2 linked regions of the Mus musculus genome follow. The protein of the gene in region 2 purifies or fractionates together with the protein of the main gene of each other region. This does not show direct contact. Links are inferred from orthologs where the notes say so. Each region holds a gene or a part of one and is shown on either strand. Other genes may lie near its edges.

Region 1 (6,573 bases), about 12 Mb from region 2:
TCACACATGCTGGGCAAGCTCTCTGCCACTGAGCCACACCCCTAGCTTCCTCAATCAATCACAATATCTCTCAATTCTAGCTAGCCTGCCTGGAATAAGGTGGGCTAGCCTGCCTGGAATAAGGTGGGCTAGCCTACTAAGGCACTGTGGTTGAGATGAACCTAGAGCAGCATATTGAAGGAAGGAAGAAAGATAAAAGTTCAGAAAGAAAAAATTAAGAGAGAAAGCATTTAGAGGTCAGGAGATAGCTCACTGGGTAAAGTGCTTGCTCTGCAAGCAAGCATGAAGACCTGAGTTTAGATCCCCAGTATTCCAAGTAAAGCCTGAGCCAACAAGTCAAACCTGTAACCCCAGAGACTAAGATGGGCAAACAGGCAGGTCCCAGGGGCTTGATGGCTAACCAGTTTAGCTTAAATGGTGAATTCAAATTCACCGTTGAACCCTTATCTCAAAAAAATAAGATTTAAGAGTACTCTTTACTCTCGTAGAGGGTATGGGCTCCCAGCTCCTACATGGTGGCTCACAACTGTCTGTAACTCCAGTTTCAGGGGATCTGATTGCCTCTTTTGGCATCTGCTGATACCAGGCACTCAGGTGGTGCCCAGCATACATGCAGGCAGAACACCTACCTACATAACATAAAAAATAAGTAATAAAATAAGGTGGACAGAAATAGAGGAAGATACCAATGCCAACCTCTGACCTACCCATGCCCATGCACAGTCAAGTTCATCTGCATACATACATGCATGCACATTCCACACACACAAAGAAAGAACAAAAGAGGGGGAGGGGAAGTAAGAGGGAGAGAGGAGATGGAAAGAATAAGTTAAGAAGGATCTTTGGGTAGGAAAATGGAGTTTTTGGCTAAGCTCCAAGGCATAATCTAAATGTTAGCAAGCCTAGAGGCAAGAACGCCAGGGGACCACCCAGCAAAAGACATGGAAGGGGTCACTCTGGGTTTATGAGGAGCAGAGCAACAGAAGCACAGTATCAGGACCTGAGTGAGTTCTTTTGCTGGATGAAGAACAGACCAGAAGCACAAGCACAGAGCAGGAGCCTGTGACTGAGTCGGGGCGGGGCTAGTCAGGGCATCTGGGATGGCTGGATTCTATCTAGGTGTGAGTTTTGTTCTGTTTCCTTCCATTACGTCAGCTGGCATATGTAGCCATCATCAGGCTGCTGGCCTACAGAATCTCTGCACCTCCTGCTCTAATAGACTGCTTCAAATCTGTAACAGCCCTAAAAGCAGGTAGCCAGTCCTTACTGGTCTTTCATTCACTTATTCCTCCATGAACACACACACATCTACTCACTAAATACTAAAAGGCTCCAGAAACATTTGGAAACAAAATACAGCCATTGCTTTTACAAGGTTAAAAGACTTCTGGGATAAACAGATTAAAAAATAACTCTTACACCCAACAGACTCTTAAGCACAAGAGCAGAACGAACAAAATTCTGTGCCAGGGGTTGAGAACAGAGCAGAGCAGGCTGCATTTGACCAGCAAATGTTTTGCTTGGCTCACATGGTGTTTTACTTTGTTTTTTTTTTTTTTTTTTCTAATTAGGTGCCAACATTTAAAAAATCAGGACATTTCACACTTCAAACGCAGATTCCTAGCTTCTGGTAAAAATAGGAAGATCTGCACACACTAGGCCAAATTTCTACCCATGATAATTGGCAGGAGCAGAGCAGCAGCTGCCCCTTTCATGCAGAGTGGGAGCCTTCCAGTTTGCCACAGCCCTTGTTACTCCCTATTGCTCTGACATGGAAGCCAATGCTTGGTTGCCAGTGACTGCCACCTTGTGCACCGGTGCTCCTTTTTGTTTGTTTGATTGTCTCACTGTGTAGCCCTGGCTATGCTGGAACTCACTATGTAGACCAGGCTGGCCTCAAACTTAAAGAGCTCCAACTTCCTCTGCCTCCTGAGTGCTGGGATTAAAGACATGCATGGACCACCACCCCTGGCTGTGGGTAATCTTATACTAGAGTGAAGAGACAAGTAATAAACTCTGTTATTACCTCAGCACTGCTGAAGATGAGGCAGGAGAACTAGAAGCCTAAGGCCAGCTGGGCTACATGGGACCCTGTCTCAAAAAAGTATTATCAAAGCCTTCTTTAAGTGCTGAGCTATTTATTGAGGCATGTGTACCATGGAGCACTTTTGGAGGTCAAAGGGCAACTTGGTCCTCTCCTTTCACCATGTGAGCCCTAGGGATCGAACTCAGATCATTATCCTTGGCAGCAGATTCCTTCAACTGCTGAGCACCCTACTGCTAACCTCCTCAAAGGTGTTTATGAAAATGAAAGGCGCTGGCAAGGTGATGCGTTCCAAGTAGCAGGGTGTACAAAAATGTCCCGCAAGTAACAGAAATCCCTTCTATTTAATACAAGTAAGGGCCACCCATTCACGTGACTCACCTAACTGAAATCAGAGCCTGGGAGAACTGGCTTTGAAACAGGGTGGCCTGAGCTTGCAAGCTGGCTCCATCACACCCAGATATGTGTACCTATCTGCCCTCTCTATAAGTCAGTTTTCTCATCTGTAAAGTGGAGATAATGACAGTACCTACCTAGAGCTGCTGTGAAGAGACACTGAGGTAAAGGGCACAAGGTCTTAGCTAGTGTTGGAATCATGTCAGCACTAGCTGCTCTTTGTGCAAGTTCCTCCAAAGCCAGCCTTGAGGGACGTTCAGGATCTCAGGAAAGGTCTCACAAGGAAAAGTCTCAGGACAGACAGTGGTGGGGAACAGACCAGACCATCTAAGAAGACTCTGAGTCAAGCTGAGAATTAGTCAAGCCAGAATTTCCTGAAATGTGTTCCTGGCTGGTGGATTTTAATGACAAAATAGAATAGGATATCAAATCATACCAAATTAATTAAGATGACAGAGTCATTCTATTGTCATTCTCTCTTTTTAAAACACTTTTTGATTTTTTTTTAAAGATTTATTTATCATGTATACAGCATTCTTCCTGCATATACACCTGCTGGCCAGAAGAGGGCACCAGATGTCATTATAGATGGTTGTGAGCCATCATGTGGTTGCTGAGACTTGAACTCAGAACCGCTTGAAGAGCAGACAGTTCTCTCAACCTCTGAGCCATCTCTCCAGCCCAATATTTTTTTTTACTATATATTTTTTTCTTTTTCTTTTTTGTTCGTTTGTTTTTGTTTTTAAAGACAGGGTTTCTATGTGTAGACTTGACTGTCCTGGAACTTATCCAAAGTGCTCTTAAATACTAAGCCTTAATCCTCAGTATTTAAAATTAAGCTTTAAATTAAGCTCACTCTTAAGTACTAATTTTGAAAATACTCCTCAAACTTCCCAATCAAGAGATGTCTTGACTTGATCGCATCTTACATGTTTCTCTGACCGTACATGGAAATGTCCTGTTTCAGACACAGTAGATCTCAGCTCAGGTGGAAATGCTCAGAACCGAGATGCAAGTTACTCACACCGTTTTGTTTGTTCCTGCTCGAAAATTTTTAATCCCGGCACTGGGGAGCTAGAAGCATATGTATCTTTGTGAGTTCAACGCCAGCTTGGTCAACATAGTGCATTCCAGACCAACCAGAGCTTTAAAGTGAGGCTCTATCTCAAAAACAAACCAACAAAAACAGGAGAAATTTAAAGAATGTCAGATAAACAAAAGTGTGGGCACTTTGAGGATGGTTAGGAAGCTGAGAAAACACTGGTGGGTGAGGAATTTTGAGAAGAGAGAAGTGAAATTGGATGATGATGACGTATAAACTGCTCCAGCCTCCCTCAGATGATCCCTATGCCCCTCCAGGAATCTCAGCTTCTCTTCCATTGGGAAGTTGAAGGCACGGAATCAGAGTCCTCGGTCCAGGCCGCAGGCCCGTTGCCATGGCAATGCGCCGGTTCCTGCCGCCTCCCCGCCATCCCCGAAGTTCCCGCTCCTCACCACTGCTCCGCTTTGTCTCTCCACGTCAACACGGCCCTCATCGCCGTTTCCCTCACGCTTCGGGCCCCTCCTCCCAGCCTCGGCAGCAACAGGCTTCTTTCCACAAACCACTTCAGCTACCTGCGCTACCCTTAGCAACGCACATGCGCAATGAACCGCGCATGAGTTTCCCAAAGCTCCAAGTGCGCATGTACAAAAGGGAGCCCACCTCCTCCGCCGAAGCGCCGGGCGCGTAGGGACGCAGGAGGCGGAAGCGTAAGTATGACACGAGCGATTGGTCCGGAAAGGTGGGTGGGGCGGGGAGTCTTGACGACAGAGGGTTTGATTGGCGGGACCCTGGCTGTGGCATCTGTAGCTGAAGCGGTGGCGGGAAGGCTGCTGTGTGGGTTGATTGACTTTCACGTCGGTGTTTGGATTCGGCTCAGTGGTTTGAGTTGTGTTTTACTCCACCTCTCGGCCTGGAGCTGCAGCTGCGCCCCAGTGGACCAAAGCAGCAGGGATGGAGAGCCCAAACCTTGGGGACAACAGAGTCCGTGGAGAGAGCCTAGTTCCAGACCCGCCTTGGGATCGCTGGCAAGTTATTAAACCTCTCTCGGGCCTCAGAGGAGTCGCTCTTGTGTGGGTCTTCCTAACCTTTAACACAAGGTGGCACCTAGAGCTGTCGCCCTGTGGGAACAAGACTAGGGTGTACCCGATTCCTTGGCCGAACTGACTGGGGAGCTTGGAGGACAAGGGAGGTTTTGTGATGCAAGCAGGTTAGCCTGGGCCGGAAGGGACCCTCAGAAATAGCCCTATGACAAGTCACAGAGGAAGCTACTGTTGTGTCCGGGCTAAAATGATGCACGTATTTGCATGTCCCAAAACTTGGGCGCTCAAACACTTTTAAGGGCTGGGCATTTAACTAAGTTGGTAGTGTTTACGTAGTAAACACAAAGCCGAGGGTTCGAGCGACAGCACCGAATATCCGGGCTTGGCGGCGTCTGCCTGTGGAGGCAGGAGGATCAGAAGTTGAAGATGAGTCTCTGGTACGTCGTGGGTTCAAAGCTAGCCTATGGTACATAAGATTCCCGGCTCAAAAGCAAACAACAAAACTTTTTTTTTTTTAATGCTACTTCCTTTTTACAGATGGAGAACGGAGATTTTGAGCTCAAAGTGACTTTCTCTTTGGAAGATCAGCTAATAATAAGTAGCGAGCTGGGGTTTTGACCCATTTTGTTAACCTAACAGTTTTGTAGGGATTCCCTCAGGTTTCAGTTACCTTGTCTCCCTATAAGATCCTTCTAGCTGATACCTAACGCCAAATTCCATCTAAGAATGCCATGGTTCTAATTGTGGTTAGTCTCTAGGTCTTGCTTAGTGTCCCTATTTCCCTATTTGTAGAAAGTAGGTTGGGTTAGAAGGTCTCTCTAGAGACCCACTTTTTTTTCTTTATGTGTTTGTCTATATACGTAGGTGTTGGTGGAGACCAGAGGAGGTGTCAGGTTCACTGGCGCTGGAGTTGCAGGCAGGGTGTTATAAGCTGCCTGATGTGGGTACGGAGTCTCCTGGAATATGTGCTCTTAACCACTGAGCTATCTCTCCAACCCCTCACTTTTAAAATGTATAGTTTAGTGATTAAAATACACTGTACTAAACACTGGAGAGATAGTTCAATTGTTTAAAGCACTTACTGCTCTTCTGTAGGACCTGGGTTTGGTTCCCAGCACCCACAGCAGAGGCTCACATCCATCTATAACTTGGCTCCAGGGGATCTAAGTCCATTCAGGCCTCAGCACCTTCATGGTGCTCATAAATAAGAATAAATAAATTCTTTAAAGGGGGAAGAGATCCACTGCACTGGAGGTTTTGTGGGAACTATCCCCCCCCCATAACAGTATGGGAGAAGTATTAGGTGGGCCTAGGTTTCGGGGTCCACTCTGCAGGTGATTTGATTTTGTTATCACACAATTTGTCAATAAGAGTAAAATAATTCTTAGAGATTTATTTATTTATGTTATATATATGTTTTATATACATGGGGTGTGGGTGTGGGTGCTTTGTCTTGCATACCAGAAGAGAGCATCAGGTCCCATGTGATTACAGTTAGAAGATTGTGAGCCATCGTGTGGTTGCTGGGAATAGAACTCAGGACCTCTGCAAGAGTAGCTCGTGTTCTTAACAGCTAAGCCATCTCTTCACCACCCAATGAGAGTACATTTTAACCTCACAAAGTGATGAGAATCAAGACTGAAAGAGAGCTGGAAGTTCTTACCAGAAATTATGTAGCTTTTGGAGGGCCATGCTATTTTACAAAAGTGGTAGTTGTTGGTTCTCAAAAATGCACACATATGTGAAGTGTTCCCCTTACATGTTTGCAGGAAAGAGGGGGTGATTCATTTGAGCAGTTTGTCTGATCTCAGATGAAAAGTTCAGTTACTGGCTCATATCTCAGACTTCCAACAACTGTTATCAGAATCCTTTATTGAATCCCTATAGTGTGAATTAAGAAAAAGTTTAGCAGGTATACTGTGTGGAGAGTCCTAACATTTAAAAACCCATGTTGAGCTAGGCAGTGATGGTATATGCCTTTCTTCCCAACATCTGGGAGGCAGAAGCAAGCAAATTTCTGTGAGTTGGAGGCCAACCTGGTCTATGGAGTG
Region 2 (6,580 bases):
AAAAGTTAAAAGTCTTGAGGCATAATGGCGCACACCTGTGAACCTGGAGCTTGGAAGATAGAAAGAAGCAAGTACGTTTGCTAGGGCCACATAGAGAGCTCGTCTCAAAACTAAAGGAATAATGTCATTGATTTTATTAAATTATTAGTTGTTAATAAAGTATTAATAACTTATTTATCTATTAAATTCTTTAAAATAAAAATGTTTAAAAAGAAAATATCAAATGGTATCTGTGCTGGCCTCTGGCGAGCAGGCAGACAGACAGGTCTCCCCTCTACTTCTGTCCTCGAGAGGAAGACTGCAGGTCATCATGGCAGCTTTCTCTCCCAATACTAGATCCAATCTCATGGGGACCAAGTTCACAGTGTATGACCATGGTGTCAACCCAGTCAAGGCCCAGGGTCTGGTGGAGAAGGCCCACACCCGCCAGGAGCTGGCTGCTATCTGTTATGTAAGTGCTCCCCTTGCCTCCCCTAGTGCTCCCCGCTGTGCCCTCCTGCATGCCTGCCAGACCCCCAAGCCGGCTCTTCTCCATCCTCCTTCCATGTTTCCTTGACCCCCTTCTAGGGGCTGACATCATTTAGATGACCACTTCAGTTACGATCAACTCTGCATTAGCCTTCCTTTACTGATGCTTAAATTTACGCTTTGGTCAGAGGCTACAGTAAAACATAAATTAAGATTAAAACCAGCTCTTTGCATTTAATCTTTCCCTCCTTCCCTCCACTCTTTCCTCTTTCTTCCTTTTTTTTTTTTTTTTTTTTTTTTTTGGTTGTTGTTGTTTTTGTTTTGTTGTTTTCTTTCTAGGCAGGGTCTCCTTGTCTGCCCTAGCCTTCTGCATATTCCAGGCTGGCCTCAAACTCTCAACCTTCCTGCTTCAACCTGCTGAGTTCTGGGATTAAAGGTGTGTACCACCACGGCTGGCTTTCTTTTCTCTCCTTTTTTTCCTTCCTCTCATGACAAGGGCTCACTACTTTGCCTAGGCTAGCCCCAACCTCCTGGCCTTAAGCAATCGTCTCACGTCAGCCTCCCAAGTACTAAGACATGGGTGTGCAGACGTGTGCCACCACGCCTGACTTCCTTGTCCAGTCCTCGGTCTCTGTTTAGTTCCGGCAAGGAAACAGAACTGGTTTTGGCGCTCTTGGGGCAGGCTGCGTTATCTGTGCCAGAGGACGTTGCCCGTGAAAGTAGAACATAGTTTCTCTTTCCCTTCCATTTCCAAATTCTGCCCTACTTTACTGTCTTTCAGGAAACAAATGTCCTCGGTTTCAAAGGTCCCAGGAAAATGTCTGTGATCATCCCGGGGATGAACATGAACCATGAGCGCATCCCTTTCAGGCCACGAAATGTAAGTAAAAAACATTTTCCCAGCGAGAGCAGGTCGCAGAGACAGAAGGGAAATTACACTCCACCAGCAAAGGTCTCTAAACCACAGCAATACACCTCTTACGCAGTAACAGAGTACAGCAGAGACCAATTTTGAGAACTGCTTTTTCTGAAAGCCCAGGCTGGAATGGTCATCTTCGTCAGGAAAGCCAGTGCTCCCAATCACCAGAGTAGGATGTTCCAGACACTTTGATTTAAGAAATGCTAGAACAGCCGGGTAGTGGTGGCGCACGCCTTTAATCCCAGCACTTGGGAGGCAGAGACAGGCAGATTTCTGAGTTCGAGGCCAGCCTGGTCTACAGAGTGAGTTCCAGGACAACCCTGTCTTGAAGCCCCACCCCCACCTCCACCCCCTCAAAAAAAAAGAAATGCTAGAACATTTGAATCTCAAGGCTGGGTCTGGAGAGATGGCTCAGTGGTTAAGAGCACTGGTTCCTCTCTCAAAGGACCCAGATTCAATTCCTAGGACACACGTGGTGGCTCACAATTACCTGTAACTTCAAATTAAAACAAAAATCAGTAATTAAAAAAAAAATGTTAAAAAGGAATTCCACGGGTGACCAGAAGGGGAGCAGTTTGTGGGATGTAAAATGAATAAGAAAGAAAAAATTGAATTTAAAAAAAAAAAAAAAAAAAGACTCCTGGCCTGGCCTGGCCTGATGTTGGCCTCTGGTCCTCTGATTTCAACCTTTCTGAAGTGAAGAGGCGGGCCTTGTCCCTGCCTCTCAGGATTATGAGTAAATGACACAGTAGTCATTCTCCCTCCACACAGGAACACGAGAGCTTGCTTTCAAAATGGCAAAACAAATCCATGGAGAACCTGATCGAGCTGCACAACAAGGCCCCGGTGTGGAATGACGACACCCAGTCCTACGTGCTGAACTTTCACGGCAGAGTCACCCAGGCATCCGTGAAAAACTTCCAGATCGTCCACGGGAATGACCGTGAGTGCGAGGGGGGGGCGGGGCTGGGTGGGACTGGGGCAGACACAGAAGTGACCAGCTCCGGGGTGGCCCGGAAGCCAGACTGGAAAATGATCTCTTGGAAAGATAGCTCCTCAGGGTGAGAGGAGTCTTTCCGTGGCATATCAAAGGACTGTTGGGTGAGGCCATTAGGACCCAGGTGCCAGTGACCTCATGAAAGCCATCAAGTGACTTCAGCCCATCCATCCTCCGGTCCCGGTCCCACCGGCTTTTCTAGGCTTTCTTGCTGCCCTCCATGCTAGTCAGGAGTAATTTCCCAGTCTGAGGGAGAACAACAGACAGAAAATTGAATGTGTTTATCTTTTTGAGAGCTGTGATCCTCCTTCTCTCTCTCTCTCTCTCTCTCTCTCTCTCTCTCTGTCTGATTCTCTCTCTCTGTCTGATTTTGTGTGTGAGGCTAGGGCTAGTACTTCCCACATCCCAGGCAGGTGCTATACCACTGAGCCATTTCCCTGTCCCCCCCTCCCCCATTTGCCTATTGTTACCCACACCTACCTCCCAGTACAACCACATTGACCACCAACACAGTGTGGTTTTCAGCTTCCCTAATGCTGCGATCCTTTAATCGGTTCCTTACATCGTGGTGACCCCCAACCATACGGTTATTTTCACTGCTGCTTCATAACTGTAATTTTGCTACTGTTACGAATCGTAACGTGGATATCTGACATGCGGGCCCCGTGAAAGGCGTCTCGACCCACAGGTTGAGAACTGGCTCTAAGGAGTTCATCTCTTTCTGTTTGCAGCTGACTACATCGTCATGCAGTTTGGACGCGTGGCTGATGACGTGTTCACACTGGACTATAACTACCCACTGTGCGCACTTCAAGCCTTCGCCATCGGGCTGTCCAGCTTTGACAGCAAGCTGGCGTGTGAATGAGAAGCAGCAAGCAGGGGATTTCTTCACCACAGAGCCTTCAAGAGCAGAAAGCTGCTGCCTCTGCCCCTGCCCCTGCCCCTGCCCCTGCCCCTGCCCCTGCCCCTGCCCCTGCCCCTGCCCCTGCCCCTGCCCCTGCCCCTGCCCTAGCACAAGAAGAGCAACATTCTGCCCCTCTGGTGAATGATCCAGTGTGTGTGTGTGTGTGAATGTGCATGTGTGTGTTTGTTTATACATGCATACACATTCACACATGGATGCATGCTTCCACGTACTCGTTCATGCCTTCTCTGAACTTCAGAGACCTGGTCATAGATTACAACTTCTCATGTGTGAGAGATGGCTTAAAGCACAGGGAAGTAGACACCCAGGCACACTGGTGTCTCCTGATCGCACAACAGACTCTGTGTGGTGAGTGTAGCTTTCATGTGCTCGGGCACTTCCAACAGAATCAGGTTCTAATGATTTAATACTTGGGCCTCCTGTTTTGAAGGCCCTTTCAAAAGGGGGCTTTTCCCTTGGATGCCTTTAGCCCAGGAGCCTGCAGCCTTCCTCAGCCAATGGTCTGATAGTGTCTCTTGCACTGACCCCAGTCAGGTCCTTTAGCACAAAACAGCCATAACTAGTTGGTGCACAAAGAGTGTAGCTGTGTCCCAATAAAACTTTATTTACAAAGTGGGCATTGGCCTAGTTTGGCCTGTGACTCTGGTTCGCAGGCCTGCCTTGGCTGTGTCCCTGTCCTCCAAGGCTGGAGCATCTTCCAGGCTAGATGTGGAGAGGCGGGGGGTGGTTTACTTTTCAGTAGCAGCAGACTGACATTTTATTTTTATTTTTACTTTATTTTTTTTTCCCATGGATCTCTGTGTAGCCCTGGCTATCCTGGAACTTATTCTGTAGACCAGGCTGGCCTCAGAGATCCACCTGCCTCTGCCCCCCAAGTGCTGGAATTAAAGGCTTACACTACTGTGCCTGGCCATAGACAGACTCTTAAGAGGAATTCTTGCCGAATCTACTCTTGGTAGCTTTTGCCTCATGGAGATTATGGCTGCAGAGTGTCATATATCATCTTGGGACATGTGACACTAGTTTGTTCGTGGGTCTGAAAGGCTCTGCTGTCCCCAGCCTGCCTCTTGCTTATTCTCAGAGTAGGTTGGTGGGCAGCCATCTCAGAAGCATGACTGTGGCCAGATCTTCGGAATCTTTGCTCTCTGGAATCTTAATCTAGTGTCTCCTTAGAGGCAGCAAGAGTCTTGGTGAGGAGGTCACCTCGCCGACACTCCACAGGCTTTGCCTGTCAGCTTTGTCCTCCAGCCTCGAAACCTGGCCCACACCAGTGGAGACACTGCCCTGCATGCTGAGTCTTTGAGATCTTGAACATCTCGAACATCTCCCAGCGAATCATGACAAATTCCTCAAGGTCCCCAGCCTACAGTGTACCTGAACTTAAGAATTCAAAAACTTTGGGTCTACATTCAGTGGTCCCCCACTCTCAAACTGGCAACTGCTCCGTGGTTTTTCCTGTATGGAGGAGGTCCCTGCATCCCTGCATCCTGTTGCTCCATGCTCACAGCTGTGTGACGACTACAGCGTGAGATCTGGGAGGTGAGACCTGTGCTAAGGCCAGTGTCTTGCCTGTCCCTTCAGATGTCACTGTCTCTGCCTCTGGCAGGCGTCCCATCAAGTGCCTTGTTCATAAATGTGCTCTGAAACCTGACACACCTCTGCTTTCCCAGACGAGCCACCTTTGTTGAGTGAAAACTGCTCTCTGTCTCCACTTGAAGGGGGTGGGGCTATGACTTTCTGCCCAGCCTAGAGAGCTGTATACTCCCATTTCATGGACTCTGCTTGAGTGTGCAGGTTTTACATGAATTCTATTTATACCTTTTGTATGCCACATAAATAAAGATAATTTATATAAAGATGTCGCTTTCCCAGAATACCATCCCTTGGGTTTCTCCTGTTGTGTTCTTTAAGCTCTTTGAGCCAAGTAGCAGCAGAATTGGGTCTTTGGGGTGGAGGTGGGGGCACCACAGACTAAGAACCCAGTTTAGGAGGCAGCATAAAAGTGTCATACTCACGATCTTGGAGCTCTGCATGAATTGTGGAACTCAGCAGACTGCACTAGGGGCCCAGGATGGCCAGGCCAAATCATCTTGGACACTGGTCAGCCTCCTGGATCTAACAGTAAAACTGTGTGTGTGTGTGTGTGTGTGTGTGTGTGTGTGTGTGTTAGGATCTTGTGGCTATTCAAGGCTATACTGGAAAGCAGCCCAGGCTGCCTTTGAACTCACACCCCTCCTACCTCAGCCTCTAGCACTGAGACTAAGAGCTCTGTGCACATGTAATGGACTGTGTCACCTGATATTGATACGTGGAGAGAAAGTCTGCACTCACAGACCTTTCTAAGCTTTTACTCCTTGTTCTGGCTGGTTTTGTGTGTCAACTTGACACAAGCTAAAGTTATCACAGAGAAAGGAGCTTCAGTTGGGGAAATGCCTCCATGAGATCCATCTGTGGGGCATTTTCTCAATTAGTGATCAAGGGGGAAGGGCCCCTTGTGGGTGGTACCATCCCTGGGCTGGTAGTCTTGGGTTCTATAAGAACAAGCCAGGGGAAGCAAGCCAGTAAAGAATATCCCTCCATGGCCTCTGCATCAGCTCCTGCTTCCTGACCTGCTTGAGTTCCAGTCCTGACTTCCTTGGTAATGAACAGCAGTATGGAAGTGTAAACTGAATAAACCCTTTCCTCCCCAACTTGCTTCTTGGTCGTGTGTTTGTGCAGGAATAGAAACTCTGACTAAGATACTCCTGTTAGCAATAAAGACAAAAAAAAAAAAAAAAAAATCAAAAGCCCCAGCTGAGAATTTAGTTCCTAATAGCCTGATTTTTTCTTTTGCATAATTTTATATGACTAAAATTGTATTATGACCTTTGGGTTGTTGTTTGGTTGGTTTTTTTTGGGGGGGGTGTGGAGGCAGGTCTCAGTAATTTTTTCTGTATGGGTTGTTTTGTTTTTTTTTTTCCTGCACGTGTTGTGCACATGTGTGTCTGGTGCCCACAGAGAAGGTAACAGGGCATTGACTCTGCTTTACCTGGAGTTCCAGGTGGTTATATGCTATTGTGTGAGCACCAAGAATTGAACCCTGGTTCTCTGGAAGAAGAGCAAATGACCACTGAGCCATCTGTCCAGCCTCTGCCTCAAGTGCTGAGGTCCAAATCCTTTTGTAACGTTTTACCCTACATTCCGTGATAGAGACTTTCCTCTTCTGGTGCTGGGGATGGAGCCCAGGGCCTCGCACATGCTCAGTCGCACTCTTAGCCCCATTTTAAAGCAA

What was found. Proteins that work in one complex are often made in the same cells at the same time.
Region 1: the proteins of Tulp3 (region 2) and Ift122 purify together in Homo sapiens (co-immunoprecipitation; 6 studies listed by BioGRID and IntAct, counting the BioPlex papers as one, with this or other methods). This does not show direct contact. The link is inferred for Mus musculus from reciprocal best matches to the Homo sapiens genes TULP3 and IFT122.

What each region holds. Positions count from the first base shown.
Region 1 is NC_000072.6:115,851,071-115,857,643, reverse strand, and holds the start of Ift122 (intraflagellar transport protein 122 homolog), read right to left. Parts: upstream 4,117-6,573; 5' UTR 3,976-4,116; coding exon 3,935-3,975; intron 1-3,934. Other genes in the region: Mbd4 (methyl-CpG-binding domain protein 4), read left to right, coding at 4,434-4,507. UniProt on the Homo sapiens protein: As a component of the IFT complex A (IFT-A), a complex required for retrograde ciliary transport and entry into cilia of G protein-coupled receptors (GPCRs), it is required in ciliogenesis and ciliary protein trafficking.
Region 2 is NC_000072.6:128,319,748-128,326,327, reverse strand, and holds the end of Tulp3 (tubby-related protein 3), read left to right. Parts: intron 1-336; coding exon 337-451; coding exon of another isoform or gene 452-556; exon of another isoform or gene 557-750; intron 751-807; exon of another isoform or gene 808-1,249; coding exon 1,250-1,348; intron 1,349-2,158; coding exon 2,159-2,330; intron 2,331-3,115; coding exon 3,116-3,249; 3' UTR 3,250-5,167; downstream 5,168-6,580. UniProt on the Homo sapiens protein: Negative regulator of the Shh signaling transduction pathway: recruited to primary cilia via association with the IFT complex A (IFT-A) and is required for recruitment of G protein-coupled receptor GPR161 to cilia, a promoter of PKA-dependent basal repression machinery in Shh signaling.